4 linked regions of the Alligator mississippiensis genome follow. The main gene of each other region encodes a partner of the protein of the gene in region 4 in a complex. Links are inferred from orthologs where the notes say so. Each region holds a gene or a part of one and is shown on either strand. Other genes may lie near its edges. The genes, in order: MED24, MED13L, MED16 and MED7.

What was found.
Region 1: MED7 (region 4) and MED24 share a complex: the UniProt entries of both Homo sapiens proteins name them as parts of the mediator complex. The link is inferred for Alligator mississippiensis from reciprocal best matches to the Homo sapiens genes MED7 and MED24.
Region 2: MED7 (region 4) and MED13L share a complex: the UniProt entries of both Homo sapiens proteins name them as parts of the mediator complex. The link is inferred for Alligator mississippiensis from reciprocal best matches to the Homo sapiens genes MED7 and MED13L.
Region 3: MED7 (region 4) and MED16 share a complex: the UniProt entries of both Homo sapiens proteins name them as parts of the mediator complex. The link is inferred for Alligator mississippiensis from reciprocal best matches to the Homo sapiens genes MED7 and MED16.

Annotation. Positions count from the first base shown.
Region 1 is NC_081827.1:164,760,156-164,767,390, forward strand, and holds the start of MED24 (mediator of RNA polymerase II transcription subunit 24), read left to right. Parts: upstream 1-4,223; 5' UTR 4,224-4,330; intron 4,331-4,367; exon of another isoform or gene 4,368-4,662; intron 4,663-4,820; 5' UTR 4,821-4,829; coding exon 4,830-4,959; intron 4,960-7,235. UniProt on the Homo sapiens protein: Component of the Mediator complex, a coactivator involved in the regulated transcription of nearly all RNA polymerase II-dependent genes.
Region 2 is NC_081833.1:23,709,627-23,717,447, forward strand, and holds the start of MED13L (mediator of RNA polymerase II transcription subunit 13-like), read left to right. Parts: upstream 1-4,819; 5' UTR 4,820-5,370; coding exon 5,371-5,442; intron 5,443-7,821. UniProt on the Homo sapiens protein: Component of the Mediator complex, a coactivator involved in the regulated transcription of nearly all RNA polymerase II-dependent genes.
Region 3 is NC_081839.1:3,217,726-3,225,565, reverse strand, and holds the start of MED16 (mediator of RNA polymerase II transcription subunit 16), read right to left. Parts: upstream 3,003-7,840; 5' UTR 2,892-3,002; intron 2,589-2,891; exon of another isoform or gene 2,278-2,588; intron 2,121-2,277; 5' UTR 2,056-2,120; coding exon 1,920-2,055; intron 344-1,919; coding exon 236-343; intron 1-235. UniProt on the Homo sapiens protein: Component of the Mediator complex, a coactivator involved in the regulated transcription of nearly all RNA polymerase II-dependent genes.
Region 4 is NC_081832.1:77,826,289-77,833,551, forward strand, and holds MED7 (mediator of RNA polymerase II transcription subunit 7), read right to left. Parts: upstream 2,345-7,263; 5' UTR 2,290-2,344; intron 2,276-2,289; exon of another isoform or gene 2,190-2,275; intron 1,318-2,189; 5' UTR 1,302-1,317; coding exon 609-1,301; 3' UTR 503-608; downstream 1-502. UniProt on the Homo sapiens protein: Component of the Mediator complex, a coactivator involved in the regulated transcription of nearly all RNA polymerase II-dependent genes.

The sequences.
Region 1 (7,235 bases), on a different chromosome or scaffold from region 4:
TTGGTGGCAGAGCACGCCCCGCTCAGCACGTCTGCATTCCCTTGAGACAGGGAAGGGAACCAAGACAATCCCCAAACATCTGCCAGGTCTCCCCCCTTCTGATGGCCTCCTCCAGCCAGAGGGCTTGGCACAGAGATCTGTGCACCAGGTTGAGAAGGCGGTGCTCTTCTTTGAAAAGCCTGCCACTTGTCCTTGAGAACTAAAGATTTCTACCTCTCTGTGTGCTGTAAGTCCTACTGCAAATACAGTGACTATACAAGAGAACACTGCAATTAACCTTTTCCAATTTATCTCACAAAAAAGGCTCACAAACATTCCTTCCCACCCTTCCCTGCCTTCCCCCCACCCCACCTTTTTGCTACCCCTTGTCCTGCCCCTCACCTTCCCTCCTATACCCCAATGATATCTCATCCCTGTGGTTGCTATAGTGATTGTTTGCTGGGGGAAAGCTACATCTAGGGACTTATTACACATATTTAAGCATCTTTTAAAGGGGCCTAACAATTGGAAAGGAAAGGAGAAGGAGTTGAGGGAGTCAGGACTATATGCTCAGCCCACATCACACTTAGAAACATGTAGCCACATACTACAACATGCAAAGCTGTTACCAGTATCTGGCCAGCTCCCAGTGGGCCATGCTCTGACAATTGCTGATTGGAAGATCAATTGGGAAGCTCACAGGCTCTTCTAGCGGTGAGCTCCTGAGAACAGGAACAGCTTCCTGGACATTTGGAAAGAGCTTGGTGTGTGGCTGGCAGAACCATGAATCAATAAAGAAGATATTACTGAGCCATAGAAGCTGACTGTTTCTTAGAAGAAGCAGAGTCCCAGCCTCTCTGGCTGTGACCCCTCCCCATCCCACACCCACCCATCTCAGGATTCAGCCCTGTTCTCTTGTAAGTTGAAGGCAGGGTATATTTGTACCTTATATACCAGTAGTAGCTAAAGCCCCTGGTGGGGGTGAAGGATGTTTGCTGGTTGTAGGGCCACTTATAGTTCTGAACTGACTCACGGATTTGGACTTGATTTGGCTGATTTGGCTTGGAACACAAAAAAATTCTTAAAAAAAAAATCGTATAGACCAGTAGTTCTCACCCTTTTAGACTCAAGGCACCCTCCATAACTTCTGTGAATTGAGGGGTGCCCCATTTCAAAAGCTAATTTATTTATTACAGGGCTTACCTCCTTGCAGTGGGGACAGGGGGGCCACCAATCAGGAAAAGCCTGAGCCTGCCCTGATCTGCTTATCTCTTCACACTTCCCTAATCGCCTTACATTTCCTCTGGCACTCTTCAAAGGATCTGATGGCACTCCAGGGTGCCCCAGGACTCTGGTTACAAATCACTGTTCTAGACTAACTAAAGTAGACTCATCCATCAATCAATCTATTTATCTATTGCACAAACCTTTGTGAGCTGAAGTTTCATCAGCAGCTGATGAAGTGAGCAGCAGCCCTCAAAAGCATGTATTATATCTATATCTACTTTGGTTAGTCTAGAACAGTGGCTCTTAACCTTTTTAGATGTGTGGCACCCCTCATTTTTCCTAAGGCACCCTAGCTTTACTCAAGGCCCTCTCCATAACTTTTGTGAGCTGAGCAGCACCCTGTTTCAAAAATGAATGTCTCAATGGTGGCACTACTTCCTTGCTGAGGCGACAGGCAGTGGAGGCAGGGCAGTGGTCAGGCAGGGACCAGCCTGAACCTGCACATGTCTCCTCACACCTGTCTTGTCTCTTAACACCTTGCAGCACCCCTCAAAAGATCTTGTGACACCTCAGGGTACCCCAGCACCTTGGGTGAGAATCATTAGTCTATAACAGTGGTGGCCAACTTTTTTGCTCTGCAAGCCAGATGGTCAGTGCCAGGTCTGTCTGTGGGCCACATTCGGATGGTGGGCTAGATCCTGCATGCAGGGCTGGCCAAGTATGGTGTGCAGCCTGACCCTGATCTGATCACCCAAGGGGGTGGGGAATGAATGATTTGGCCCAAATCTGGATGTACAGGCTGGCAGGGAGCAGCCTGGCCGTGATCCAGACACGTGGATCAGGGCCAGGCTCCAAGCTGGCTCCAATCTGGACATGCACGAGGGCGGGGACACAGGGACTGGAAGCAGCTTGACCTATTCCAGACTGGTGGCGGGCAGGCCTAGCATGGATCCCACGGCATGGCAATGGCCTGGGCAGTGCTGGATCTGGCACCATTCTCTCACCACCAAATTCTCTGACCCATGGTGAAGCCAGGTGGCACAGCTCTGTACCCTGGATTTGGCCTGTGAGCTGGGGCTCAAGCACCCCTGGTTTCATAGTTTCATAGATGTTAGGGACCAGAAGGGAACTTACAGATCACTGGGTCCAATCCCCCTGCACTTGGGCAGGAAAGACTGCTGGGGTCAGATGACCCAGCAAGATGGGTGTCAAGGTGCTTTTTGAAGATTGCCAGGGTGGGTGACTGTACCACCTTTGGCGGGGAGCCTGTTCCAAACCCTTGGCACTCAACTTATAAAGAAGTTCTTCCTTACATACTGCCTGAAGTGGTCTTCAATCAGTTTATGCCCATTGTTTCTTGTCCTCCCCTGAAATGCCTTGGTGAACAGATGCTCCCTCAGGCCCTGATGTACCCCTAATATATTTATAGGCTGCCACCAAGTCCCCTCTGAGTCTTCTCTTTTCCAGGCTGAACAGTCCCAAGTCTTTCAGCCTCTCCTCATATGACCTGCCCTCTAGGCCTCTAATCATGCATGTGGCCCTCCTTTGGACTCTCTCAAGCTTCTCCACATCCTTCCTGAAGTGTGGTGCCCAGAACTGGTTGCAGTACTCCAGCTGTGGTCTCACCAAGGCCAAGTAGAGCAGGAGGATGACATCCTTAGCTTTACTCGAGATGCTTTGGTAGAGGCATGCCAGTGTTTGATTGGCTCTGCCAGCTACAGCACTGCATTGGTGGCTCATGTTCATTTTGTTGTCTATCACGACACCTAGGTCTCGTTCAGTTGTGGTGCTGGCAAGCGTAGCACTGCTTGTAAGTGTGTTGTGGATTATTTCTCCCCAGCTGGAGCACTTAACATTTTTCTGTATTAAACATCATCAGGTTGAGGTCCACCCACCTCACAAGCCTGTACAAGTCAGCCTGTAGTGAGCACTCCCCCATAGTGACCACACTCCCCCATAGTTTGGTGTCATCAGTGAACTTTGTCAGTTTGCTTTTAATACCTGAATCCAAATGAATGTGTTGAAAAAAAAGCACTGGCCTGAGTACTGAACCCAAAGAGGGCACCTGGGTTTGAGCCAAGGCATCTTGTTCTGCAGTCAGATACTCTACCACTGAGCTATACCCCCTCTACAAGCTGCATCAACCCATCCTTCCACCTGGCAACATTTGTGTCTGAAGGTCAGCGTTGCCAGGTCTTAAATATGAAATGATTGTATTGGAAGCTCAAAACTATTGTCTTTGCAGAAAAATGATTTTACACTGAAAAAAAATGCAAATAAAACTTATTTACTTCATATTGCTCACTATAACTTGCCAGTGAGTGAGGAAGCACTGGGTTGTTGAAGTTGGAGCATTTCTTTATTTCAAAGCAAGCAGTCATTAGGAGGTGCTGACAGCAAGTCCAGAAGTTGGCTTGGACTCTCTGATGTTGAGTTGGGTTTTACATGTGCTGCATCAATGAGCTGCCTCAAAAATTATAGTACGTTTGGAATGCTTCACTGTTATCAGTCACACATCCCTACAAGGGTTGAAATTATGGTACAAATATGATAATTACCATACCTCTGGCAGCACTGCAGGGGGTGGTGGCAGAGCTGGGTGACAGCAGGGAGCTTTCCTAGGCCCCGCTGCCCAGCCAGGAAGGAGGGGCAAGCTTTCTGGTGCCACACATCATAGGCGGCTGGTCAGGGGTGCACGTGCCCCCCCTCTGATGGGGCCGGTGCCCCCCTGACGGCCAACACTGATACTGTCGGTAGGGCTGGTGCCCCCCGACAGGGTTGGTGGCTTCTGCGGGTGCCCCCTCAGATTCAGGAGGCACCAGTCACTCATGCCACGGATTTCTAACTCTGCGGGGATTTTGGCGAAAAAATTAAATCCCTGCCGAGTTTTCCCCAGCCAACGTCCGCACCGCCCACTTCCCCCGCTGGCAGAGACAGCCCGGCTGCCTGCATTGGGGTCTGCCAGGCTCCGACCCCCCAAGAACCACAACTCCAAGGAGGCTCAGCGGCGCTCGAGCGTTCTTCCGGCCAATCAGGGGAGGTCTTGTTGGTAGGTGCTAAGATGGCGTAGTCCAGGGCCCGCAGGAGGTGTTTTCTCTGTGCTGCGCTGCTGGGGGGCTCGCAGGTGAGGGGTCCTCCTGGCATCCGACTGCGGAGGGAGGAGGGTGGCCCCCTTTCCTCCCCCCGCCTCGGGCTGGGAAGAGATATCGCCTGGCAGGAGCCTGCTTCCTCCCCGGGGGGTGAAGAGACCCAGGAGTTCGGGCCGGTCACTGCCTTGAGCGCCAGGCCCTGCCTGTTCCCGGTGGCTGGAAGTAGTTCCTAGGGACCCTGGCTTCACAGCTCCGAGTCTCCCCCACTCCCAATTCTCACCCCTGGAGCCTGTCCTTCCTCCCTCAGCTTGGGAGTGGGACTCAAGCCTCTCAGCTCAGCACTTGGACCAGCCAGCGCTGCCCCCTTGTAAGTGGTGCTGGTGGCATGAATAATAATGTAGGAGCTCATGCATGCGCCCTGGGAGAGGTGCAGGGGTGATGTCTTTCCCTGGGGGGCCCCAAGTGGGATGGTGAAAAATGCCTGCTCTGATGATGCTGCCAAACCTTTCCCCCTCTTGCTTTCAGACCTGAAGGATGAAGGTTGTCAATCTGAAGCAGGCCATTCTTCAGGCCTGGAAGGAACGGTGGAGCGATTACCAGTGGGCTATCAATATGAAGAAATTTTTCCCTAAAGGAGCCACGTGGGACATACTTAACCTGGCAGGTCAGGATTTAGCTTGTGTGTAGGTACAAATGTTTGTCTGTGGTACTTGCGCGCTTCCAAGCGAGGTGGATGCATGGTGAAGGAAAGCAAATTACGCAGTTGTAACATATTCCTAGTTATCTCTCCCACAGCTTTATCAGAACTGCAAAACTGTCCGGCAGCATCCTTTGGAAATGGAGGATGTGCTTGCTTTTCCCAGCAAAGGTGGGGTTGCAGCAGGTGTAGGCATACCTATGCTCCCTTGGGTAGCTGTGAGGATGTGGATACACAGGCAAGAAAGCTGCTCAGATATAACCCCGCCAGAGATGCCAGGGGTATGTTTCTGTTGCTACAAACGCAGGCTGCCAAATCTTTGCTACTGTTGCCCAAACTAAATAGCTTTCATTTTAGCCTGGGTATATAGCTGGCATTCAGTTGAAACGTAGGTATATCTTAAAGCTCTAGTCCTGAAAAGACTTATACATGTGCTAAGCCCTGCTGAATTCAGTGATATGCTAAAAATTAAGCGTTTAAATCTTTGTAGGATGGGAGAGCTGTCTCGTGATTACTCACTGCAATAACACCTGAGCTATTACAGATGTCAAGGGAGTCGGGGTAGGTTAGTGGATGGAGCACTGTAGTTCTAAGTAACCAGCTCTTGGTTACCTACGTGACTTTGGCCTGTTGCTTCCCCATCTGATGCCTAGCTATACAATGGGATAACACACCCAAGGATGAAAAGTGCTATATAAAAATGACATTTTTGGGGTTTTTTTTAATGGGAGCATCTTCTAACCCACAGATGTTATTAGCATTTATTTTCTGCATCTCTATTCAAGAAAGGGGGCTGCCACAAATCCTGCCAAATGTTGTTGCCTACTTGAGTATACATAGCTAAAGATTTGCCAGGCTCTTATGCCAATTATAGTAACTTGTTGCTAGGTTTTCTCCTATAAGCATGCATTGGGAAGATTTATATAAATAAATATAAAGCACTTGGTCCTGGACTGATTTGAAGGGGAGGTTTTTAAAGGGTAAAAATCCCTATTTAAACCGACATTAAGACTGAAATAGAGCATCCTTGTTGTTCTGATGGTTGGATCTCCTGTATCATGATCTCCTGTATCCTGAAATCCTATCTTCCCTCCATACCAATTTAATCGCCTTGGTCTTTTCTTTCTCCAGTGGAGGGGGTGGGGGTTCTTTTTCACTTGATACCTGTTTTCACTTGCTTTCAAAAATTCTTTATTGATGCATTAATATAGGACCCCTGGAACTGATTGGACACTTAACAGTGGGAGGATTATTCCTTCTCATCAGAGGCTAGAATAAAATCAGGATTTTGAAAGCAACAGCCAGGTCCTGAGGGCAATGCATCAATGAGAAGTCCAGTTTGCCCCTGCTGGGAAGTGTGAGGGTCCTAGGATTTTTACTGTGGTGCCATGCTTGGGTGTTTCTGAAGTGTGACACTTCTGTAATATCAGCTTCTATTTAGAGGGTGTGTGCTGTTAAATTTGAAGCCTCACCTGGCTTGCTTGCTGGGATGGAAAGCCATTTCCACTCTTTTTTCCTTGGATTTCCACAGCAGATGCAAGACCCAGTTGGGAAGTAATACATCTGCTATTCCATCCCTTCCCTGACGTGGAGAATGTGTTCCTTTGCTACAATATCTCCCTGTCTCTCTTAGGTATAATTCCTTTTCTTGGTTTGCTAAAATCTTTCTTAGGGGACAAATTTTTGCAATCAAAACTGACCAGAGTCCTGTTTTTCTGAGAGGCACTGGCACAGACTGCAGGCTTTAGCAAATAAACAGCATCAACTACTTTTTCGAAAGTTTTCTTCACAATCCTAGTGACTTGAAATGGGATGTTTATAAACAAAGGTGCAGAAATATGTCATTTAGTGCTTCCACCAAGTCCAGGGTCACTATTGAATGCTTCTGCTCAGCTGTGGGTAACAGACCTTTCAAGTTGTGTGTGAACTGGATCTTGCTATACAAAAGAATACACAGGTTACACGTCCATAACCCAGAGTAACAGCTGCTGTGATGGGATCCCTTTAGATATAATTGTGCTACAATTCGTTTCTATGCCAAGTTGTACTGTGATATATGCTTTATCTCCTTGCCACTCCCACACATTGTACATTCCTCATTCCAGGCTTCTACTCCTCTTTGCGGGCTTGTTTCCTGCCTCCACTCCTTTGTCTGCATTTTAGCCTCTTAGATAAGCTTTTATTAATATTATGCAGGCCCCCATTTCTCTGTAAAGCATTCAACACAGATTGGGCACGATGGT
Region 2 (7,821 bases), on a different chromosome or scaffold from region 4:
GCAGTTCAAAAGGCTCCCACCTTTCTTCAACAGTTTCACTTGCTCTTGCATTGGCACAATTTGATAGTGCAGCATGAGTGGAAATTGCTAACTGAGTTTTCTCTTTTTCCATGCAGAGTTTCAAAACATTGATACATCAGTTTGTTTTCGGAGCAACCTTCTGTCTAGGAGTGTGAATCCTGATGTTCAGTTTAGTACAGATAAGCTGGTGATCTGTACAGCATTCTGCGCCTTGCATAGCCCTGGTAATGTAAACATCCCTCAGGTATTGCTATGAGTGATGACATAGTCTAGAAGGTGCCATTGTTTTGACTGAGGGTGCTACCAAAAGTAGAACCACTTTTCTGGCATGCTGAAAATGGTGTTTGTAACAGCAAGGTCAAACTCTGTGCAGAGTGTTAGGAGTAATTCTTCATTTGTGTTTAGAGACCCATGTCCAAATTTCCCCATGAATGTTCCAAGTGGCATAGTCATCTCCAGTGTGTGTATTGAAATCACCCAGTAGTAGGATTTTATCATTGTTGAAGGTATTTCTTAGAGTGTCACTCAGCTGTCTTCATTTCTTTGAAAGCAAGTAGTGTTGGGGTGTAGGTGTTATTATGGCCATAGAGTTGTTATGGGACAGTGGTATCAGGAATGTCATTAAGTGCTTGGATATTGACACAGTTTGATGTGATCATTTATTAGCAATGGAGTTTGCTATTGTGAATCCTACCCAATGTAGGCCGGTGTTTTGGCCTGCCTTGTAACCTGACAAGTAGAAAGTGTGTTCTTTTTCTCTAAGCACACTGCTGTCATGTAGTCTAGTCTTGGATAAGGCAGTGATATCTATTTGATACCTGTGTAGCTCCTTTGCTATTAATGCAGTTCTTCTACAAGCTCGATTTTCCTTTTAGTGTATGAATGTTCCAGCATCCAATTGTCAGTTTCTGTCTGTTTTTGTTTCTCCCACTTAAAAAGGAGATCCCGCTGATCATAGGAAACCAGCCAGGAGTTGGTGAGAGGTGAGCCTTTTTTACCCCAACTTTTATTGGGGCCTCCTTGGATTGAGGCAGGTGGTGCCTCCCTAATTAGGGCCACCTGGTTGCCTAGGTAGGACCTCATGTTCCCATCACCAAGAGAGAGTCATGCAACCATCACACCTAAGCCACTCATGTGGAGATCATAGGCTACCTGCTTCCAGCTGTTCAGGTTTGTCAGCACTGCCTAGGAAATTCTCACCATGACTGTTTGGTGAAGAGTTTGTGGATGATGATGGTGAATACCTCAGCCCACCCCTAACCCCTTCCATTGTTGCCGCCTGAGGGACTGACGCAGGATGATGCAGCAGTGGTGGGGGGAGAAGCAGGCCAGATGTGGTTTGAGGGAATAGTGGGCGCGCCGCAGCAGTGGCAGTGGGGGGAGGGGAGGGGAGGAGTGGGCCCGGGCCTCACGTGGTGGGGAGGAGGACCAAGCCCAAGCTGGGGGAGAAGCTGGCCCACGCGGTGGGGGGAGCAGTGGGCCTAGGCTGCCACAGCGGTGAGAGGGAACAGGATGTGCGGGCTTGGAGCTGACAGTGGGGGGAGGAAGGGGGTGGGGTAGAAATGGGCCCGGGCCCAAGGAGGGGAAGAGGCTCATTTCTCCCCTTTCTCAGCTGCTACCATGTCGGGCTGGGCCCACTGCTCCTGCCCACCGCTGTGGTGGGCGGGCTTCTCCTCAAGCTCACCCAGGCCCACTTCTCCCTGCCCCCTCCCTCCTCCCCATTGGCTCTGAGCCCACTCCTCCTGTTCCCCTGCCACCGCTGGGTCGGCCCAGGCCTGCTGCCCCCCCCCTCCACGGCAGGCCGGCTTCTCCCCACCCTTGAGCCTGGTTCTCCCTTGCATTGGGCCAAGGCCCACTCCTCCCCTCCCCCTGCGGCGGGGAGGGAGAGATGGTGGGGAAGAGGGGTGGGAGGGGAATGGGAAGGGGGGTTACTTGGGCCAAGGCCCACTCCTCCCCTCCCCACTGTGGCGGGGAGGGAGAGATGGTGGGGAAGAGGGGTGGGAGGGGAATGGGGGTTACTTGTGGCTGTGTCCCGCCATGGTGGCAGCCGTCACTGAAGCAGCAGAGGAGATGTGGGGAGTGGCCGTGTCCCTGCCCTGGCACGAGGCAGCTGAATGCAGGCCTCTGTCCTCCTCCCCTGTCATTTTTGATGGGCAATTTACTAGTCTAATATTATAAAAGCCTTAGTTTGTCTGTCTGTCTGTTTATAACGCTTTATTTGTGACCTGATTGGCTGTCTCAGCAGCCAATCAGAATGCTCTGGACAGACAGGACAGAGAGTGGAGTGCCACCATGGCAGTGAGGGCTGGGGGCGAGGGGCCAGGCCAATGGAGCTAGCGTGGTCCCCCCTGCCCCACTCCTTGGAGGCAGAGGGGGATGGTGGGGATGGAGCCGGATGGCCTCACCCCACCAATCTGCTCCTTGGAGCTAGGGGCCAGAGCACCCCCCCGTCACCCCGCAACAAGATCCAGCAGGGAGACGGGGGGGAGGAGAGGAAGCAGGCCTGCCATGGCGGGGCGGGGGGGCAATGGGGTTGGGCCCGCAGCAGGGGGCAGGGGAAGAAGGGGGAGTGGTCCTTCTTCCCCCGAACCCAAACTGCTGGGGGAGGGGGGGGGGGACAGAGTTGAGCCTGAAGGGGGCGGGGCCAGACTAGTGCGGTGGGGGGCAGGGACGGGAGCACAGGGCCAAATGCTGACCTCCATCCCCACCTCCCCCCATCATTTTTGATGGGCAATTTGCTAGTAGCAGTAGTAATAATAATAATTATAATTATTATTATTATTAGTTTTTCAGGTTCTTCAGGGAGGATGGAATAGAACTGATGCTTAACTCCACTTACGCAGGATGGCGGGGGGGAATCATCCTAATAGGTGGAATAGAATCTGACCCCAGGGATCTAAAGTCTATCCAGAGCAGTGCATTTGTACAGTTTGGACAGGGCTGTTGTGCCAGTATATGGCTCCAGATTTACTACAACGAAACAGGTCTTCTTACTAATTCTGTTCTGTCAGTGTAATAAAATACTAGCTCCTGCTGATTACAACTATTTGCAAAGAAAAGTAAGCGATGAAAAATATTATTTAAAAACGTGAAGAAAGCTCTTGTTTTCACCAAATAGGATAAAAAAATCTGCTTTTGTACTACATCAGATAGTTTAAAATGTGTTGTATGTTTTTTCTATTTGTTATTCAATATTGACTTTAATTGCTAGGCAAATTTAAATTAATTTTACTTTTTAAATGGCGATTTTCCATTTGTTAATGAGAAGTCTAGGTAGTTCAGCTTTATTCTACATGGCTAAGTCAGTTTCCTACTTGAAAGTTTCAAAGGGACGCTGTCAACTTTAGCATTTTACATACAGTTCTTTATTCATGTTGCAAAACATACATTAAAGTAGAAATAAATATTTTCATTAAAATGAAGTAATATTAACTATAGCTATTTGTTGCTATTTGATTACTTTTTTGAGTGTTTTTCCCCTAGGACAATGAATACAATTGTGCTCAGTTTCACTTGTTTATAGTCAGCTTTACTTTCAGGTATAGTTAATTTGAGGGAATGTGTATTGTTAAAGATAGGCAAATGTTTGTTTTAAGAGCTGTTTCAAGTCGAACAAAACAAACATGTATGAGGTAAGATTCTTTATATCAGTCTAAAAAGCATCCTAAAAGTGTGGGACAATTTGATTTAGCTTTTTAACATGGCAATCTCCATGGAAACTATAATGTTAAAAGGAATAACTTAATTCTAAATTACTTTTTGCATTTTTTAAATTTATAAATACACTTACTGCTAAATATTTTGTTTTGCTTTCTAAGATATAGCAAAGTACTGGTATGCCCTGTACGTCACATTTAAAGCAATGAGTGATTCGGTTCCCCTTCCAGCTACTCTTCCGGTGCCAGCAATATAGTCGAAAGGGCCCTGGCAATTTATTTATTCGTTTTTGTTTGCGTCTGGATGGACATTATCATCGTTTTGTGCTGGAGGATGGACAAGCGCAGTTATTCACTCTTAACATGGGATCTTTCACTCTGCAGCAAGTGACAGCAAGTTTGGGGTCTCTAAGCCACCCAATAATAAAATGTATCAAGCGATTTGCCTGCAGGTAATATTGCTAGCAAGGCGGATGCCACGGTTTGTTTTTTACGAAGCACCTTGCGCTCTCCCCAGAGGGCTGGGTATCGCGCCAGTCGTCAGCACTGAGGCAGGGGAGGTTTGCAAAAACTCGGATCGTCCAGACTTGTGCCCAAGCTGCCACTTTTGGGTAGCCACTGCAACGGGGAGATGCCTCTGGTTATAATGGAAGGGCACGGATTCATTTGGGTGATTTTCTTTTCCTGGACCAGCGCCCTGGTTGGGATGAAGTCAGACAGGTTTTGGCCTGGAAACCACCTCCTGCAGGCCTCCAAGGTGAGCAGGGCAAGGGGAGGCTCTAGGAAGAGGGGGCCTGGTCCACCTGCCCGAGATCCAGGGCCCGCCCCGGCTCCCACCGAGCAGCAGCCCCTGCTCCAGCTGGAGGCGGCGCCGCTGGAAGCCGCTGCCCCGAGCCCGCCGGGCGGCCCCGCCCCCGAGCCCGTTGCTGACTCCGCAGCACCCCCAGCGGAGCCTCGGGACTGCGCAGGGGGGGCGGGAGCCGGAGCGCTGCCCCCCTCCCGTCGGAACGCGTCACGTGGGGCCGCGGCGGCCAATGGCGAGGCGCGCTGGGCCTGGCGGCCGCCATTGCTGTCAGAGCGGAGAGAGGCGGCGGCCGGGCGTGCGGCGGAGCGGGCAGCGGCGGCGGCGCCGGGCGGGCAGCGCTGCGCGAGGGCGGCGGGGACGGGCGGGGACAGCGCGCGCGCTCTGGCCGGGGGCCGCCGCCAGCCGCCCGCAGCCCCCGGGGCCCCGCGCGGGGCGTAAACAAGGCGGCGGCGGCGGCAGCGGCGGCAGGAAAGCAGCGCCCGCCCACCGCCAGCGGCGGCAGCAGCGAGGGCGGCCGGGTCGGGCCGGGCCGGGACACGGCCTCCGCCGCCCGCCGCGTCCTGCCGGGGCCGCTCCACGCCGGCCGCCCAACCTGGCCGCGGGCGGGCCCCCCCCGGCGGTGCTGACGGCGCGGCCCCCGGCGGCTCGGGGTGTCGGTCGCGGCGCGCAGCGCGGGCCCCCGAGCGCCCCCGGGCGGCGCAGCGCCCCCTGCCGGCCCCGCCTGCGCCGCCGAGCCCGGGGCAGGACCGGGACCGGGACCAGGACCGGGACCAGGACCAGGACCAGCACCGCGGCGGCCGCCCCCGTGAGCCGCCCCGCCCCGCCCCGCCCCACCGGGCCCGTCTCTTCAGACATGCCCCGCTCCGGCGGCCGGGCTCGCCGAGGATCATGACTGCGGCGGCCAACTGGGTGGCGAACGGGGCCAGCCTGGAGGACTGTCACTCCAACCTCTTCTCGCTGGTGAGTGCCTGGCGCGGGCGGGGGGCGAGCCCGGCCCGACCACACCCGGCCCGGCCCCGGCGCACAACGCGCTGCTCGGCGGGCGACGACGCTCCAACTTCGCGGCTCGGCTGCCGCTGCCAGGGGGCTTTATATCCCGGCCGGCGCGGCGCGGCGGCTCCTCCGCAAGCCCCTCCCCCGGCTCCGCTCCGTGTTTGTTTTGCTCTCCGACGTCGGGGTCGCGAGCGCGTGTCCCCTCCCCGGCGGGGGGGGCGGGGGCGCAGCCGGTCCTCTGCCCGTGCCCGCGGGGAGCAGCCCCCGCCGCCTCTGCCCGCCTGCCCCGGCGCTTCGCGCCTCCCAAACTGCGTGTGCGCTCATGTCTCTGCTCCCCCCTCTCGGAGCGGCAAACGCCATTTCAGCAGCAAGCAGTTGCGCGCAGCGATTACGTGCAGGGTGGGCACCCTGGGCTCCGGCCGCTGGACGCGCCAGCTGTCCTGCTGGGGCCGCAGCTCTGTCCCCATCCCACAGCTCAAAGGAGAGGAGCGGGGACAACACCTCCTCACTTTTTTTGTTTCCTAAGGGAAGCGCTCGCTGGGAGTGTGGTGGGCTGGGTATCTTGCTAAAACAGATGCTGTCTTCTCATCTTGCTGGTAACTGGCAACTTTCACTCTGTTTTTGATGGCAGGGTTTAATTTTGCAGCAGTTATTGTATCAATTCTTCATAGTGAGACACTCAGCTAATTGCAGATCCTTAAAGAGAGTAAGAGCTGTCGCTTCTTTGTTTCAGTGATGGTTCACTTCAAAATGCCTTTTCCCCTCCTTGTCCCAGATACCTTGTCCCTGCTTGCTGGAGAGCAGACCTAAGGGTTCTCCCTTAGTCATTCAGCTAGGAGCTTCCCACACTGATACCTGGAGCAAGTAGGAAGCGAAGTGGGGCTTCATTAGAGTCTGCAGTTGGGTTGAGCTAAAACAATAGCTAGTAATGGGAGGTTGGGAACAGCCTTCTGGAGGAATGTGTGGGGAGGAAGAGCGCAAAATGTGAGAGTCGAAAGTCTCACTTCTGGAGAGGCAGGGAAGGAATGTTGAGCAGGTGGTGATGCTGGTTTGTTTTTTGTTTTGTCTTTGTTCCCAGTTCATGTGCGTATGTGTCTTCATTTTCTAAAATCCTTGGTTCAGGGGTAGGGATGTGTAAGTGACTAAGAACCGTGTCATTTCTAAGTTGTATAAATGGCATAGTATCAGACGTGTTTTGGGGCTGTTGGTTGTACCTGTGCTGATCTAAGGACGTAGGCAGACAAGGTTCTTTGGGTAAATGCCGTATCTTTTATTAGGCCAACCATTACTTGGTTTAATAAAAGATATTGATCGCATTTACCCAAAGAACCTTGTCCACCTAAGTATATTAGGCATACTTTCATTCACTTCTCTTCATCTTAATTTGGAGTGTCTCTCACATTTGATGTATCTTGAATTTATTAAGAATGTAACTCTTTGGGGCAGAAGTCTTATTTACCTATGCACGTGTACAGCATATATTGTGTTGGGGTGCTGAGCCTGTCATGGCTTTTGGGTGGCCCCGTAATACAAACTAAAAAGCTCTTGGCTTTTGCATTTGTTCCATAGTTGTGAAAATGGTTACACTGTTAAAAAAATAAAATTGCATTTACAGAGTTTTTTCCCTGAACCATGATAGTGTGTATGTGGCTGTGCGTGTGCAGATGTAGCAGTGATTCGTATAGATCAGTTTTGCATATGGAGACAAGCTAGCCATTAAATACAGGATAAATAACTATTAGAACTGTTAGCAGTAAGTTAATAAACAGTATCTTTAAAAAAAGAGGATTATTCAGGTTTTTTAATAGGAACCTGAGCATATTTTAGGAAGTTGTTAGCATGGCATAACTTCTTGTGTAGTGTTATACTCGGTGCTAATCGCTACTAAAATAGTTTTTGGCATATGATATTTTAAACTATAAAGTTATAAGATTCAGAGATCTCCTCCTTCCCCAAGAGTTTACCATTTATACTGATAAACATCTATTGAGCAGTAAGTTTTTAATATGTATGCAGAATATCAATGAAAAAATTGAAAATTCTTCATCTCTCATTCCTGTTAATCATCTATAAATTCTGCAGAGCCAGAAAATATTGCCCTTAATTTGTCTTATAAAACTACCTTAACAACTTCACTTGCTAGTGGCTTTTGTGTGGCTGTGGTATCAAGTAACTTCTAAGCAGTGATTTGCAGATTAATGTCTTAATTAAGAAATTATGCTTTCCTACGTATTTTGTGTTAACTTCACTTGAAATGTCAAGGAACTGACAAGACTCAACTATTTTTTTTGTAAACAAGTTAATTAACTGTGGTAAAGTCATGTTTGTTTTAGACTCTTATCGTGT
Region 3 (7,840 bases), on a different chromosome or scaffold from region 4:
TGCTGGCAGCTGTACAGCTAATCACTGATGGTTAAAATAAAACCATAACTCCTTTGAATCTGGAAGGGGTGAGAAGCACAGCAATCAGTGCAGACCCAGCTGACCAGATCCATGCACAGGGCCACAGAGAGTGGGAGGCAAAGGAGAAGTCTGTCCAAACCCTCCTCCTGGCATCTCACCACACTCTGCAATGTTGTGAAGCCAGGGAAATAAACGCTGTTTGAGCAGTGCTTACCTGACTGATCCCATTCTAAGCAGGTGATAATTTCAACGTGCCCAGAGTTAATGGAATAAACGTCCCATGGATGCTCTGTGTCGATGATATGGACCATGTGGGTGAGATCTAGGAAGAAAACACACAAGGTCAGTTCCAGGTAACCTCCACTGCAGGTTTTTAAACTGTGACAACTCTCAGAGCAGGACACCAGCAACAGCTTCCCTCATTTCTACAGCAACACATATACACAGGCTTCCTTACCTGATGTACCAAACGAGCCACTCACTGCTCCAAAGAATTAACTGTCTACAGCTCCTTAGCTGGCGTTTCTCAATCTCAGGATTGTGAAAGTGCTGGAGGGGTGGAAATCAAAACCACCTCCCATTCTGCAAGCAGTATCTTTAATAAAACCAGCTGAAGGAGCAAGGCACTTCCAGCCTGGGAAGAGGAGCCCTTGATTATAAAAGAGGCTGAGAGTCACTGCCCTGGTGTATGAAATGACTATGATGTTTTGCGGAGAGGAAAAGAGAAAGAACCTAAATCTCCCACACTGTTTGCACTAGGACTCACTGATGTCAGAGCCAGCAGGGCCCATGACCGCACAAGTCCTAGCTGCCCGTGTACTACAGGCCACAGAACTTTGCCCGGTTCCCCTTGTATTGAGCACGGTTCCAGGCGACTAAGGCACAGCCTCTAGAAAGGCATCCGATTTTGACCTAAAGTGATCAAGAGACGGGAAATCCACCACTACCCTAGAAAACCTCTCTGCCTACGTTTTCTGGCTGCAGCCTGCTTGTCGAGAAGCCCAGCGTGCGAGTCTCACAAGGTGAGAGGCTTGGTTATTCCCCAAAACAACAGGATAACATGTCCTATTGAGAACAATTTAAGCAGGCTCTGACTCTGCACTGAACCCCTGCAGTCAGACCCCTCAACTCCCTGAAACCAGTGGCACCCGGTTCCATCCATGTGGATCTGACAACAGAATTAAGGTCACAAGCAATAAATCAATGGTGCCTGGAGATGAATCCCCAATCCTTTCCGCTGCATTTGCTCCTGCCTGTTGAACCACAGAAAAGGGGAAAACTTGTCACTTCAGCCAGGAAGCACCTTGCTTCATTGGAAGGCAGCAGAAGCAAGAGACCCGTGCCATGGAGGAGACTAAACAGCAAATGCCAAAGTCATTTTCATTCACTGTGATAGGATGAAACATTGCTGCTGTCGCATCCACCGCAGCAGCCACTGACACCTGCTTGTCCCAACTCTTGATAACAAGCGTGCTGTCTACCCAGAGGAGCACACAAAACACCAACAGACTCTCCCTGTGCCCGGAAAAGGGTGGTTTTTTTGCTCAAAAGCTTGCAAAGAACAATTTTTCCAACTATTTAGTTTAGGTGCAAAGAACAATTCTTCCAGCTCTTTCGTTTAGATATCGCATCGACCCAAAAAACCTCGTCCACAACCAGCAAGGAGAATAAATAAGATGTGCAAACAACCCTCTCACGCAACCACCGGGCAATCAAAGCCAGTGAGACTTATACTCTTAAATCACTTTGGGATTCGCTAAAGCACCTTTCTGAATGCTTTATCCCCAGCTAGAAGCAATGCTAGGGGGGACTACAACAGGACACCGCTCTTCCTCGTGGAAAATTCCCATTGTAAGACATCGTTCAGGAAAAGAGGAAAACACACAATTTTGCCCTACCTTTTTCCTCTTCATTTTTGAGGTCTGTCGTGAAGGCGATCAGGTTCCTGCAGGACCAAGCACAAACCAGTGGGATTGAAGGGCAGTGGTTGCTTTTGGGCCTCTTCTCCCACTCGCAGATGTAAGCCAAGTCCATGCTGCCTCGGGAAGGCGTCCAAGGCACCGCTCGCCTTCGCGACGTCTAGTCATGGACTTTGGTGCCTATGGAAGAGAAGAATCGCTGTTCTCTGCTGTCGGACTCTCTCCCCCCGTTTCACCCCGCTCAGGAGACCCGGGCCCATCGCTGGAAAGCTGCTTTATAAAGTAGCAGCTGCTTTCCAAAGGAAACGCGCTGCGCTGAGCCAGGGCCCCCAAATACCGAGAGGGTCGCACTGGGCAGGGCCAGCGGAGGGGCGAATGCCTGGCACTATTGACATGCTTTCTGGCACGGTCTCGGTTGGTCCAAGAACGGTGTCATCTCTGCACCACGAGTTCAGGCTTTTTGCATCTCGCACGACTCGGGAATCCTTAAAAACGCCTCGGGTCCTGCCCCAAGACCTCGCCGAATACCTGCCTTTCAGGGAGATGGAAGGGGGGGCTCGCTGCCTCCGCCAACGCCGTCAGCATCGCCCCCCACCAGCAACCCCTGGCCCGGACACAGGGCAGCCAAAGCGCCCCCCCAATGTGCAGCCAGGGGTGCCCCCCAGGGGTAAATGGAGTGCCCCCCCCTCCCCCAGGGGCAACTAGAGTGCCCCCCACCCCACCCAGGGGCAACTAGAGCCCTCCCCACCCCACCCAGGGCAGCCAGAGGCCCATCCCCCACTCCTCCAGGGGACAACCAGAGCCTCCCCCCAATCAGGGGCAACTGAAATGCCCCCCAGGGGCAACTGGAGCTGCCCCCAGGGTAGCCAGAGCCCCCTCCCCTCCCCAAGGGGCGACTGGAGCCCCCCACAGCCCCCCCCCTTGCCTCCCCTCCCCCCGCGCAGGACTCACCCCCACCCCCACCCCAGCGCTCCTTCGCCGCTGGCTGACGAAGGCCCCCGGCAGGGCTGCCCGCGCTGCGCCTGAGCCAAACGTGCAACTCAGGGCCGAGACGGAGCCCTCGGCGAGGGGGGGAGAGGGAGGCTCCTCGGCGGGAGGGCTGTTCGGCTCAAGCCGCAGGCGGTTTCGGAGCCGCGCGCGCAGGCATCGTTGCGGACGCCCCCAAGTCGGGGTCTTTCTATATCAGGCTGCGCTCCGGGCCGGGTGTTGATTTGTATACAAGCTCCCTCTCCCAGAATCCCTCGCATCGCCGGCGCTGGAAAAGTGGAAGTTTCCTAAGATTTTACCACAAATAACTTAGAAATTAAAAAAGTATCTGCATCATACAGTATTTTTCATGAATCATTCATCTAATTATACTCCGTAACGTGCTATAGTTAATCACCATAAGAGTAAAAGTATGAATAACTATGAGGTATAAATATCGATCTGGGAGAAGGGACATTCGTGCTCGCTTCGGCAGCACATATACTAAAATTGGAACGATACAGAGAAGATTAGCATGGCCCCTGCGCAAGGATGACACGCAAATTCGTGAAGCGTTCCATATTTTGCTCCTCTCGGGTCCATAGTTTGCTCTCCCAATGTTCCGCTTTGTGCATTCCCTTGGGCCCATAGTTTTGCTCTCCCTTGCAGCTGCAGCGGGACCCCCACCCCGAGCCCCTTTGCCATGTGGGGGCTGGAAGGAAACGCCCCCTCCCAGTAAGCCCCAGTAGCGCTGCCTAGTGCACAGCCTAGCAAACTGCGCTGGGCTTCCCAGAAGCCCACGGTGCCCCTGGGAGGGCAGGTCTACCCAGCCCCTGGCCCTGCTGCCAGGGTGCAGGGCAGCTGCCCCAGGTGGCAGGAAGGGGCACGGGGCAAGGGCTCCTGTGCATGCTTTTGCAAGGCCGGGAGCGGTACCACCCATGGGAAAGCAGGTAGAGGGCACGAGGGGCTTCATTTCTTCTCCCCTGGAGGTCCTCATGGAGGAAGGTTACGTGCCACTGTGCCTGCCTCAGCCCAGCAGGCGCCTGGCATGCTTGTGGGTGCAGCACATCTGTTTTCTTGGGGGTCTCCCATCCAAGCCAGCTTGGGCCTGGGGGCATTAGGCACCCCAACCCCAGCCCCTTTTCCCTCCCATGTCCACGTCCTGCCTCTTCCACGTGGGGTTTTCCAGTTGGCACAAACTGAAGCTGGAGCAAAATGCTCATTGCAGTCCCACGTGCCAACAAGGGGATGCCCCCTTGTCTTGTTTGCCACCAGCCAAAAGGTCAAGCTGGGAAGCCCAAAAGCAATCCCACCGCTGTCCCCATAAACTGCACAGCTGAACCCCTTGGCCAATGCAGTGCCTATCTTCAAGAAAGGGAGGAAAGTGGATCCGGCTAACTATAGGCCCATCAGCCTGACTTCTATCCCGGGGAAGATCTTAGAAAAGTTTATTAAAGAGGCCATCCTTAATGGACTGGCCGACGCCAACATCTTAAGGGATAGCCAGCACGGGTTTGTTGCGGGTAGGTCTTGCTTGACCAATCTCATTTCCTTCTACGACCAGGTGACCTATCACCTGGACAAGGGGGAAGAGATTGATGTCATATATCTTGACTTCAACAAGCCTTCAATCTGGTGTCCCATGATCACCTCTTGGCAAAACTGGCTAACTGTGACCTTGGGTCCACCACAATCTGCTGGCTGGGGAACTGGCTCCATGGTGGGACCCAGAGAGGGGTGGTTGAAGGAAGCCAGTCCTCTTGGTGTCCTGTGACCAGTGGGGTCCCCCAGGGCTCTGTCCTTGGACCCACACTGTTCAACATCTTCATTAATGATGTGGACATTGGAGTCAGAAGTGGACTGGCCAAGTTCGCCGATGACACCAAACTTTGGGGCAAAGCATCCACACCAGAAGACAGGCGGATGATCCAGGCTGACCTGGACAGGCTCAGCAAGTGGGCGGATGAGAACCTGATGGTGTTCAACGCCGATAAATGCAAGGTTCTCCACCTTGGGAAGAAAAACCCGCAGCATCCTTATAGGCTCGGCAGTGCTATGTTGGCTAGCACTATGGAAGAAAGAGACTTGGGGGTCATCATTGACCACAAGATGAACATGAGCCGGCAATGCGATGCTGCGGCTGGTAAAGCGACCAAAACGCTGGCTTGCATCCATAGATGCTTCTCAAGCAAATCCTGGGACGTCATTCTCCCCCTGTACTCGGCCTTGGTGAGGCCGCAGCTGGAGTACTGCGTCCAGTTTTGGGCTCCACAATTCAAAAAGGATGTGGAGAAGCTTGAGAGAGTCCAGAGAAGAGCCACGCGCATGATCAGAGGTCAGGGAAGCAGACCCTACGATGACAGGCTGAGAGCCCTGGGGCTCTTTAGCCTGGAAAAGCGCAGGCTCAGGGGTGATCTGGTGGCCACCTACAAGTTTATCAGGGGTGACCACCAGTATCTGGGGGAACGTCTGTTCACCAGAGCGCCCCAAGGGATGACGAGGACGAATGATCACAAACTACTACAAGATCGTTTCAGGCTGGACATAAGGAAGAATTTCTTTACTGTCCGAGCCCCCAAGGTCTGGAACAGCCTGCCGCCGGAGGTGGTTCAAGCACCTTCATTGAACACCTTCAAGATGAAACTGGATGCTTATCTTGCTGGGATCCTATGACCCCAGCTGACGTCCTGCCCTTTGGGCGGGGGGCTGGACTCGATGATCTTCCGAGGTCCCTTCCAGCCCGAATGTCTATGAATCTATGAAATCTTAAGATGTGCTGGAGAGCGGCCGTCTCCTGCCCACGTGCACCTGGCGGTCACGCAGCCTCTTATTGAAAAGCAATTGCAGGGCAGGAAGCCTCCCGCAGCCCCCGGCACCTGGCAGGGGAGATGCTTTCAGCCCCGGTGGCTCTTACTTCCCCTTCGTCTCGGTTTCGAAGGCCGTGGCACAGGTACAGGTGAGGCCTGTCCCTTGCTGATCCCTGCCAGAGTCTCCGACTGCCTCCAAGTGCAAGGAGCTCAGCTGTGCAGTTTATGGGGACAGCGGTGGGATTGCTTTTGGGCTTCCCAGCTTGGCCTTTTGGCTGGTGGCAAACAAGACAAGGGGGCATCCAACCTCCAAGGCCTGCGGGGCCTGGATCTGGGACCACCTGAAGCATCCAGAGTTTGGGAGGCAGGAGACTTGCTAACGGACAAGGCAAGAACTGGGGCCAAGGGCTGCAAGGGATAGAAACCCTCTCCTCCGTCCCACAAGCTGCAGCGCAGAGGGACAAACACGTGGGAGACATTTGAGCTCAACCAGCTCCCAGGCTCCCGCGTTGCACCCCACCGTCTCCTGCTGGAAGCCCCCCGGGGACGGACACCGACGGCTGCGCCCCCCAACAGAGACGCGGACACAGGGAGTCCGGAGCACCATGGTTTATTGTTCTCGTGCAGATGCCTCCCGGCTCTGTACGTGTCCTCGCCTTCCCCAGCCCAGCCCCCCACAGCAACCAGCAAAAGGAGCAGTGGCAAGAGCTGGAGCTGGATTCGGGGCATCGAACACATTTAAGAGGAAGGAAATCGTGATGCCATGCTCCCGAAGCAACGACACAACCACGGGCCACACGCCGCAGGCCCCAGTGTGCGCTCGGCTGCACGGGACGCTGGCGGGGCCACGAAGATCACTTTGGCTTGCCAAGAGGGCAGAGGTGGAAGGAGGAGGCACCAGTGATGGGGACCCATGGGAGAGCTGGGCCTTCGGGAGGATTTGATCGGAGCAGAAGATGCTATAAAAGGGCCCGATTCGCTCCCCGCTGCTGGGGGAGCAAGTCCTCCTTGCCCCCAGCGCTCGATGCCGTGGTGGTGAAGTGTGACACGGCCCTGCTCTCCCCAATCCTGCTCGCACCCAGGGTGAATCGGGAGCGATCCCAGCAAAGGCAGCAAACCCCATCCATCACCCAGCGCAAGAAGCACCACGACCCCCCATCCTCGACCCACCCCAGCTCCCCCCCGGCACGGGCATGCACGAGGCTTTTGTACAGCCGTGAGCAGTGACGCACACAAGTGCAAGGCAGCAGCACCCCGAGCCCAGCGCGTCCCTTTCAAACCAGCTGCTATATACACCGAAGAGAAGCCCTTGATACACAGACACACGCACAAAAACCCCACAGAGCGTACACGTTAAAAAAACCACAGGCGGCACAGTCTGCAGCCCTACAGCGCTGGAAACCAAGCCCATTTCACACAGCACCACAGCACGAAACACTCCCGTGCCCCGGCGCGCCCAGCTGCCCAGGGTGGCGGAGCTGCAACGCTGAGCTCCAGCCACCTTGGGAGCGGCGGGGCAGCCGGGGCCCGAGTTAAATCACGCACACACAAATATGTATAAAAAAAGGACACGCTATATTACATTTAAAAAGGATGGGAGCCCTGCCCTGCAGAGAAAGCCAGCCCTTGGCATTAAATCTCGCTGCTCTCTGCATTGACGCTTCAGCTGCTGCAGCCCAGCTTCGGTGCCAGGCTGCAGGGAGAAGCGATGGGACGGGGCTGGTGCCAACACCCAGCCCGTCCCCCCAGAGCTGCCACGAGAGCTAAAACAGACCCCCTTCCCCTGGGACCTAACCCTGGAGATGAGCCTTTAGCTGGAGGAAGGCAGTGCTCGGGGCCGTTTGGCTACGGCAAGACCCAGACCCCTGAAGAGGCAAGTGTTTGGCTCTGGACGGGCACGGGGAGGCAAGTGCCGGGGCAGAGGCTTTCCACAGGGCTGCTCTGGCTTTAGGAGTGCTTGCCCTGGGAGAGGGAAAAAGAGAGGCACAAAAAACTAATCACAGGCTCTCACAGCTGCCCCCGTCCCAGACAGCATCACTGATGCAGGGACGTCCCCCCACCTATTTGCAAAATGTAAATGGAGGAGAGAAATCCTCCTCCTCGGAGGACCACCCCCCAGACGCAGCC
Region 4 (7,263 bases):
AGTCCCCTGATAAATAAAATTTGTTAAGATGTTTTACAATGTGAGGAAAAACAGTGATTTTTGCAGCCACTATTAATAGATCCGACAGTAATCAGCTGTTGTTTATAACAGAATATAACATTTAATAGAAATAGTGGAAATGCAAGTAAAGTACCTTCAACGTTTTAGAAATGGGTCAGAATCTGGAGCATTCAGTAATTTCTCCATCTTTCCTCTGCTCCTACATTTTATAGAAATTCACAAGATAGTTTTGATTGAAAGATGAAAGTATTTATTGAGAAGTAAAACAAAGCCATCACATGAGCCTTACTTCACTGAACTGCTATGATGCACATTTTCCCCACCCATCAACATGAAACATTATAGAAATTTTTACTTTTCTGTTCTTACGACCACATGCAAATAACACCTACAACACAAGCAAACTCCATCTGCTTGAACACCTGCAAAAAAACCCTACAAAAAAAGACGTGAGTTTAGACATTTATACATACCCACACACTTAAGTTTCACGATTGTTTTTATTGGTACAGATAGAGGCAGCAAAAAGTACATTATACAAGCTTCAATATTAATCCCACTTCTCACCCGCTACAAAGAGCGTCCTTTCATGTCATTTCATCAATAATACTACACATCGCCGCATCTTTGTCTAAAACCTGATCTTTCTTACAGACCGAGCCTGCTCTCTGCTGTTCGTTCTGCCCGATGCAACTGCTGCCGTCATCCGTATCCATGGGTTCAGTTTTTATCCCCAAACCTCCCTCAGAATGAGGTAAGTCATCAGGCAAGGAGGTCAGGCAATTCTGGATCATTTCTACAACCCGCTCCAAATGCTTCTGAAACCTCTCGGCCGTCTCGAGACGCTGACGCTTCTGCACTTCCATCATGACCCGCAGCGTCTCTCTGGCCTGGTGCGGACGATACTCATTTATAAGATGATGGACGTGAACAAAAAGCAGCTTCAAGTCTTCCAGCTTCTCCTCTCGTTTTATGCTGCCCGGACTCCTTATCAAGATATCCAAGAGGTCCAAGAAGTTGACCAGGATGGACATATTGAGTTTCCTGAGCTCCTTCTTGTGATCAAACTGCATGGGATGCAACCGTTCGATCCCTTGGCTTTCCAAGGGGCGGATAATAAGATCGTCGCATTGGAATTGGTTACCAAACATCATGTAGCTGTCTTTCACGGGCGGCGGGGGCTTCGGGGCCAGCCCCTTGCGAATGTTTTCATCTGTATATTCCTTTATATATTGCATCGGAGGTGGAGGCAGAGCGCTCACTTGCTGCGGTTCCCCCATGGTGGCAGAGAAGTGCCTGGGGTGTAAAAAACAGCCCGTAAAACACCGCTCAGACCAACTGGAAAAAAGGAGTTCACGACACAGGGACAAACCCGACGATACCCCTGAGACCAAGCGGGACGTAACGCAACCGACAGGAAGTCAAATGCTCCAGGACGCGGGTCGTAGAGATTAACACCTTTCAGAGGTTGGAAGGAGGGGATATTTACTTCTCGCACACGTGCACTTTTCTTACCCTGATAGTTCTTTAAAGAAATGTCATTATTTCTTTGTTTTTATTCTCGAAGAATTGGAAGAAACCAACAAACATAAATAATATGCATCGAGTGCGGCGGGGGGGGGGGGGACACGACACACGGTGATGCACACACAGAGCTGGGCGAGCGCCCGCGTGGAAACCACCTCACCTCGCTCTGTTTCTACGGGGGGTTATTAAACGTGCGGCAACCGTTCTTGGGACAAGTCATGCAAGAATAGGGACGGGGCGAGGCTGGGGTGGACACAGGATCCTGGTCAAACCAAACCTTTGTGATCCCATAAGGGGGGATCGGGGGACACGTACACTGAGGGGAGCAGACCCGCTCAGAAGGAAGGCAACATCTGGGGGACCAACCCCCCCAGCCAACATCTGGGGGACAAACCCCCACATTTGGGAGACCAACCCCCCCGCCAACACCTGGGGCACCAACCAACACTTGGGGCTCCCAGCCAACATCTGGGGCACCAACCCCCCCCTCCCAGCCAACATCTGGGAGACGAACCCGCACATTTGGGAGACCAACCCCCCCCCATCATCAGAGGCACCACGACCCCCTGCCAACATCTGGAGGACCAAGCCCCGACATCTGGAGGAGCAACTCCGCCCCCACCAACATCTGGAGGACGAACCTCCCCGCCCCCGCCAAGCTCTGTGGGCAGGCCCGTCCCGGCCCGGGCTCAGGCCGCCCTGTCCTGGCGCCGCTCCGGCCCCGGGGCCCGCTGCACACACCTCCGGCCGCCGCGGCGCAACTTCCGCTCCGCCCCGATTGGCTGAGGTGGCTCAGGGCCGGCCACTCCATTGGTGGCCCCGCACGTCACTCACCCGCTGTTCCCACCCCCTCGCGCCGCTTCCGGAGCGCGTCGGGCGACAGTTTCCGGGCGTGCGGCGCACGCGCAGTGGCCTGACCTGGGGGGCGTGCCCTTGCCCGGCTGTTGTGCGGTACAGCCCCACCTTGTGATGCCCGGCGGGGAGGGGGAGGGGCGATCCCTGGCTCTGCCACTGACACCTCATGTGACCTTGGGCACGTCCCTTTACACCGCCTGCCACCGACTCCCATGTGACCTTGGGCACGTCCCTGAGCACCCCTCTGCCACCGACTCTCCGTGTGCCCTTGGGCGCGTCCCTTAGCACCGCTGCAGGCAGGCTGCGGGACACGGCTCTTCCCCCGGGCAGGGCAGCGGTGCAGAGACGTGCAGCCCAGCCTGCCAGGCGTCATCAGGGACCCCCCAGCACCCCGGGGGCATGGAGGGCGCCTCCAGCATGCACCCCTGGCCTCTGAGCGCCGGCGCCTGCTGGCTGCCACCACGGCATGTTCTCTCTCGTGGCAGCAGAGGGCAGCAGCGGCTTTGGTTTGACCAGAATCAATTGGTTTCCTAGGGTTGTCTCTTTAATTGGGCTCATAGTTGGTCCTCCAGATGTTCAGAGGGGTGTTCATCATCCAGATGTGTGCGGGGGGGGGGGAATAGTTGGTCATCCAGATGTTAGCGAGGGCAGGGAGTTGGTCATCCAGATGTTGGGGGAGGAAACAGTTGATTATTGAGATGTGAGTGTAGGGGGAGTTGGTTGTCCAGATGTTGGCACGGCCGGGGGGGGGGGGCAGTTGCTCCTCCAGATGTTGTGGCATTGGTCATCCAGGTGTGTGGGGGGCAGTTGGTCATCCAGATGTTAGCGAGGGCAGGGGGAGTTGGTCATCCAGATGTTGGGGGGGGGAAGAGTTGGTTATTGAGATGTGGGTGTAGGGGGAGTTGGTTGTCCAGATGTTGGCGGGGGGGGCACTTGCTCCTCCAGATGTTGGTGGGGGGAGGAAGTGGAATTTAGTTCAAGAGTTAATGATATCTTTTATTGGATCCAATAAAAGAGATCGCCCTAAGAAATCCCTGAGAATAAACCAGCAAGAAGGGACTGGACCCGCTACCCAGAGGAATAAAAGAATAGGGCCAAACAAACCTGGCTTCTCCCAACGACGCCCATTTGCAGCCTGTTTAATTGACTGCCCCTTCCTAAAAAAAATATTTGGAAAAGTCGGCACGGGCAGCAATGTCGTTTGTAAATGTTAATTATTTCAGTTGCAAGAGATGAAAAATAAAATAGGGATTCATTTCACATAAAAATGTTTTTGCCCGTCCAGTTTGCTGATATCCTCCAGACCGAACGCAGAGGCAAGAGCAGCGGTGGTTATGATACGGTGCCGGCAGCTTGACCTGCGATCCATTTCTCCTTGGAGCCTGGGGATACTTTTTAAAGCTTGGCTTTGTGACTGCAGGGGCTCAGATCATGCCCCGACGGGCGCTGCAAGAGCCCGGGCACCATGAGAACGAAGACGGCGCAGCCTTTCGGCTTCGGAGAAGTTTCCAAGGAAGTGTGTGTTGTCACTACAAGCGGTGCCCTTGTTTTCTGTCATCATTCAGCCCTTCAAGTGCTGCCGCCACCATATACAGTAGTGATGGCAATCACGTTATCTGCTTCATCTGCGGTTCCTGTCCAGCTCATTTCCCAGAAACATATTGCCAAATAAAGGCTTGTCCTGGCAGCACTGCTTGAATGTTTAATTACGTGCTCTTTTGTCAAATCTGGGCTCAAATGTTCCCTTTCTTTGGTAAGACACCAGGCCCCAAATCACAGTTATTTTGTCCCAAAGACAGCTGGTGATTAATTGTGTCCAGTTTCAAAGGAGCAAAGTCTGAGGTTCCCATATCTCGATGACATTTTTCACCTTCTCTTGCCTACTGGCAATATTGGAGAGAGGGCCGGCCGTGCTGGATCTTTTGACATCCGGCAATGTGAGTTAATTCAGTCTTCCTCATACAAAACCACTGCCCAAGTGACAGTATAACGTCACTGATGGTATCGTTGCCAGACAGGAGGTTCAGACTTAGGCAGCCGGGTACAGAAAGCTTTTTTCTGCACACAAGAATTTTTATGGGCAGCCATGGTGGGCAACCTGATGCAGAAAAAAGCATGTGACAGGATAAGAGTGGTTTGACGGTGTTTTTTCAAGCATTTCCCCCCCTTGCTGCTCGCTGTGCCCTGCACTCAGCTTTGAGGTGTAGGCGTCATGTAGGGCATTATTTTTAAGCGAGAGTTTTCACATGTGAATTCCGATAAAACCAGAAATAGTGGAGCATAAGTGGCCCAGAGTCACCACTGCATGCCTACATATCAAGACCACTAAAGCAAGTTGAATACCAGCGTGGAAAGAATCAAGCGGATTAAAAGAGTTTGGGTTATTACAAGCTACCTCTATGTAGGAGAAACATGGGGTTGCAATGCAAAGAAGCACAGTCCTGGGGATAACGCACCAGTCTGGTGCCAAGAGATAAGGGATCCATGCTCAGCTCTGCCACAGGCCTTTAACAAAGGTCCTGGACTACAGACAAGGCATTGCCCACTGCCTCTTGAAGTTGGCTTATCCGCCCTTGTATTTAATACTCATTGGGTAATCGCAGAATCCAGGGCATGCTACTATTCAGCACGGCATCCGTCTCATTGATCCTGATCCTCTGGTTCGTTTCCCTGTTCCTGCCCTAGGCACCTTCTGCTCCTGGCTCCAAGCGGACCAGTTTCAAGAGCGGGGTTGGAGAAGGCTCAAGGCCATGCCTTGCCCGTGGCCTGGGGGTGAGAGCACTTTGCTAGAAAGCAGGAGCTGAAGATGCCAATCCCATTGAGTGCAGGAGGTCTAGTTCCCGGATATCACGTTCCTTAGGCCAGGGCCCTGACTATAAGGCCACTGAGCCAAAAGGTGGGAGGATCTGCCTTCCCCCAGGGTTTTCCACCACTCAGTTTTCAGTACTTGCACAGCAGTACACACATGCCCACGCAGTGTAGCCTGCTGAGCACACGCAGAAGGGAAATGCAGGGAGAGCAGAGGCGTGTGCAATCCAAAGTGTGCACATGCACCAAAAGTGGCAGATGCAGCTACCTAAGTGCCACGTCAGCATGTGAAGGTGGAAAAGGATTTTACCATTACTCTTTCCAGGTTAGCGCCAGGGCCATCAGGATCGGCAGAAAGATTCCTGAGGTCTTTTGCCTCATTTGTAAAATGCAGCTAATAATGCTTCCCTTCTCTCACCCTCTCTTATCCATCACCATCTCTTGTCTCTCACCATCTCTTGAAGCTGTTCAGGGCAGGGACTGCTGCTTGTTATGCGCATGTAGTGCTGGCTATCCAGACAGTCGCTACAGTTTTCCCCATCTCTCTGAGGGCCCCTGAGTGCAACTTCAGTGCAAATAACTAATAACTTTCACACAGAGAAAAGTCGGCCCGTTGCAAAATACTTCACGGTCAAAAACCTCATCGTCTCACCTAAGAACACAGAGATAGGAAGACTGTTTCTAAATCTTAAGTTGAAAAAAAGGGAAATAAATACACCTCCTCCAGTGACCTGCCGAGGGATACCAACAGCACCGTGCAAGCGTGGGGGACTTTCTGGTTTTGCACTACTGCAACGCAAGTTGGGTTTGATTTTACACAGCCTTGTACTGAGAGTCTCCTACAGCCTCTTGGCAGAGCTGTCACATGCTTTGACTGCACAAAGCATATTGGGGAGTCTAATAATCACTCAGTTGGTCTAATTAAAGATATCACAACCACTTCAAGAACCTTGCCTGCCTATTGGGGAGTCTTACAAAAAACTAGAACTCTTGGTTGGGAAGTCTAGCATGTTGCCTTTTAGGACACGTTTATGAACAAGACTCCTATCTGGGTGTCTGTTTGTCTCACTAGACAACAGATTTGCACTGAGTGAGCTTGTTAAACATCTGCAAGTGTAGCCGTAGAGCCCGATTCTTGAATGACACGGTCCTTTCAGCGCTTCTCACATGTCAAGCTGGTATCTAATGGTCCTGAATATGCTGTGGGTCCTCCCTGAGGTTTCTTCTTCTGCATGTTGGGCTCTTCTTTCTTCAAAAGCTTTCATTGCACACTTAATAAGCTGTCTCCAAGTGCTTCCATCCTCAGCAGTCTTCTCTCAGTCATTTGGCTCACCATTCATTGCCTTCATATCACTCTTGTGAGCCTCTTTGAAATGGAAATTAGGAACGCCTGTGTGGTCTCCTTCCTGTAAAGGGTTCTCCATGCAAGAAATCCTCGGGGAAATGGCCATCGTCCATTCTCTGTGTATGGCCAAGCCATCAAAGTCAACGCTGACCAAGAAGAGAGTGGATGCTGAGTGTTGCCGGGTCTTTGGTTGTAGCCCTGCCGCTCACACTGAGACACTCGTGCCTAGACCCACAGATCTGTGGTTTGTGTCTTGGCGACTTGCCTGATCTCACTCAGGAGGCCACGCAGATGCAGCCTCCGATCTTCTTTGTGGTCTTCTTGAGTCACTTTCCTCACTGGGGAGCGTAGTCACCAAGATCGAGGCGATAGAGATACCAGTTCAAGAATTACATTGGTTTCCCTCCCGTTCCTGGTAGCCAGATGGGCGATTCTGAGAACGAGCAAGAAAGAACCAGCCGACGCACCCCGAATGGCTGAAGGACCTTTCTGCAGGGTTTCCAGAGAAGAAGCTAACCCTTAGCTAGAGGTACCAGGGATAAATGTCATCTTGGGAGTCAAGAGAAGTGCTCACTTCCCCCATGCATTCAAGCTCCCTCTCTGGGTTTGTACATTCCCCGCTGGAAGCTCGGTCTTATTAACCATTGCATTAATGTAGCACCCACGAGCCTTGGGGTGGACAAATGACAGCCAGTGAGGACTCACCA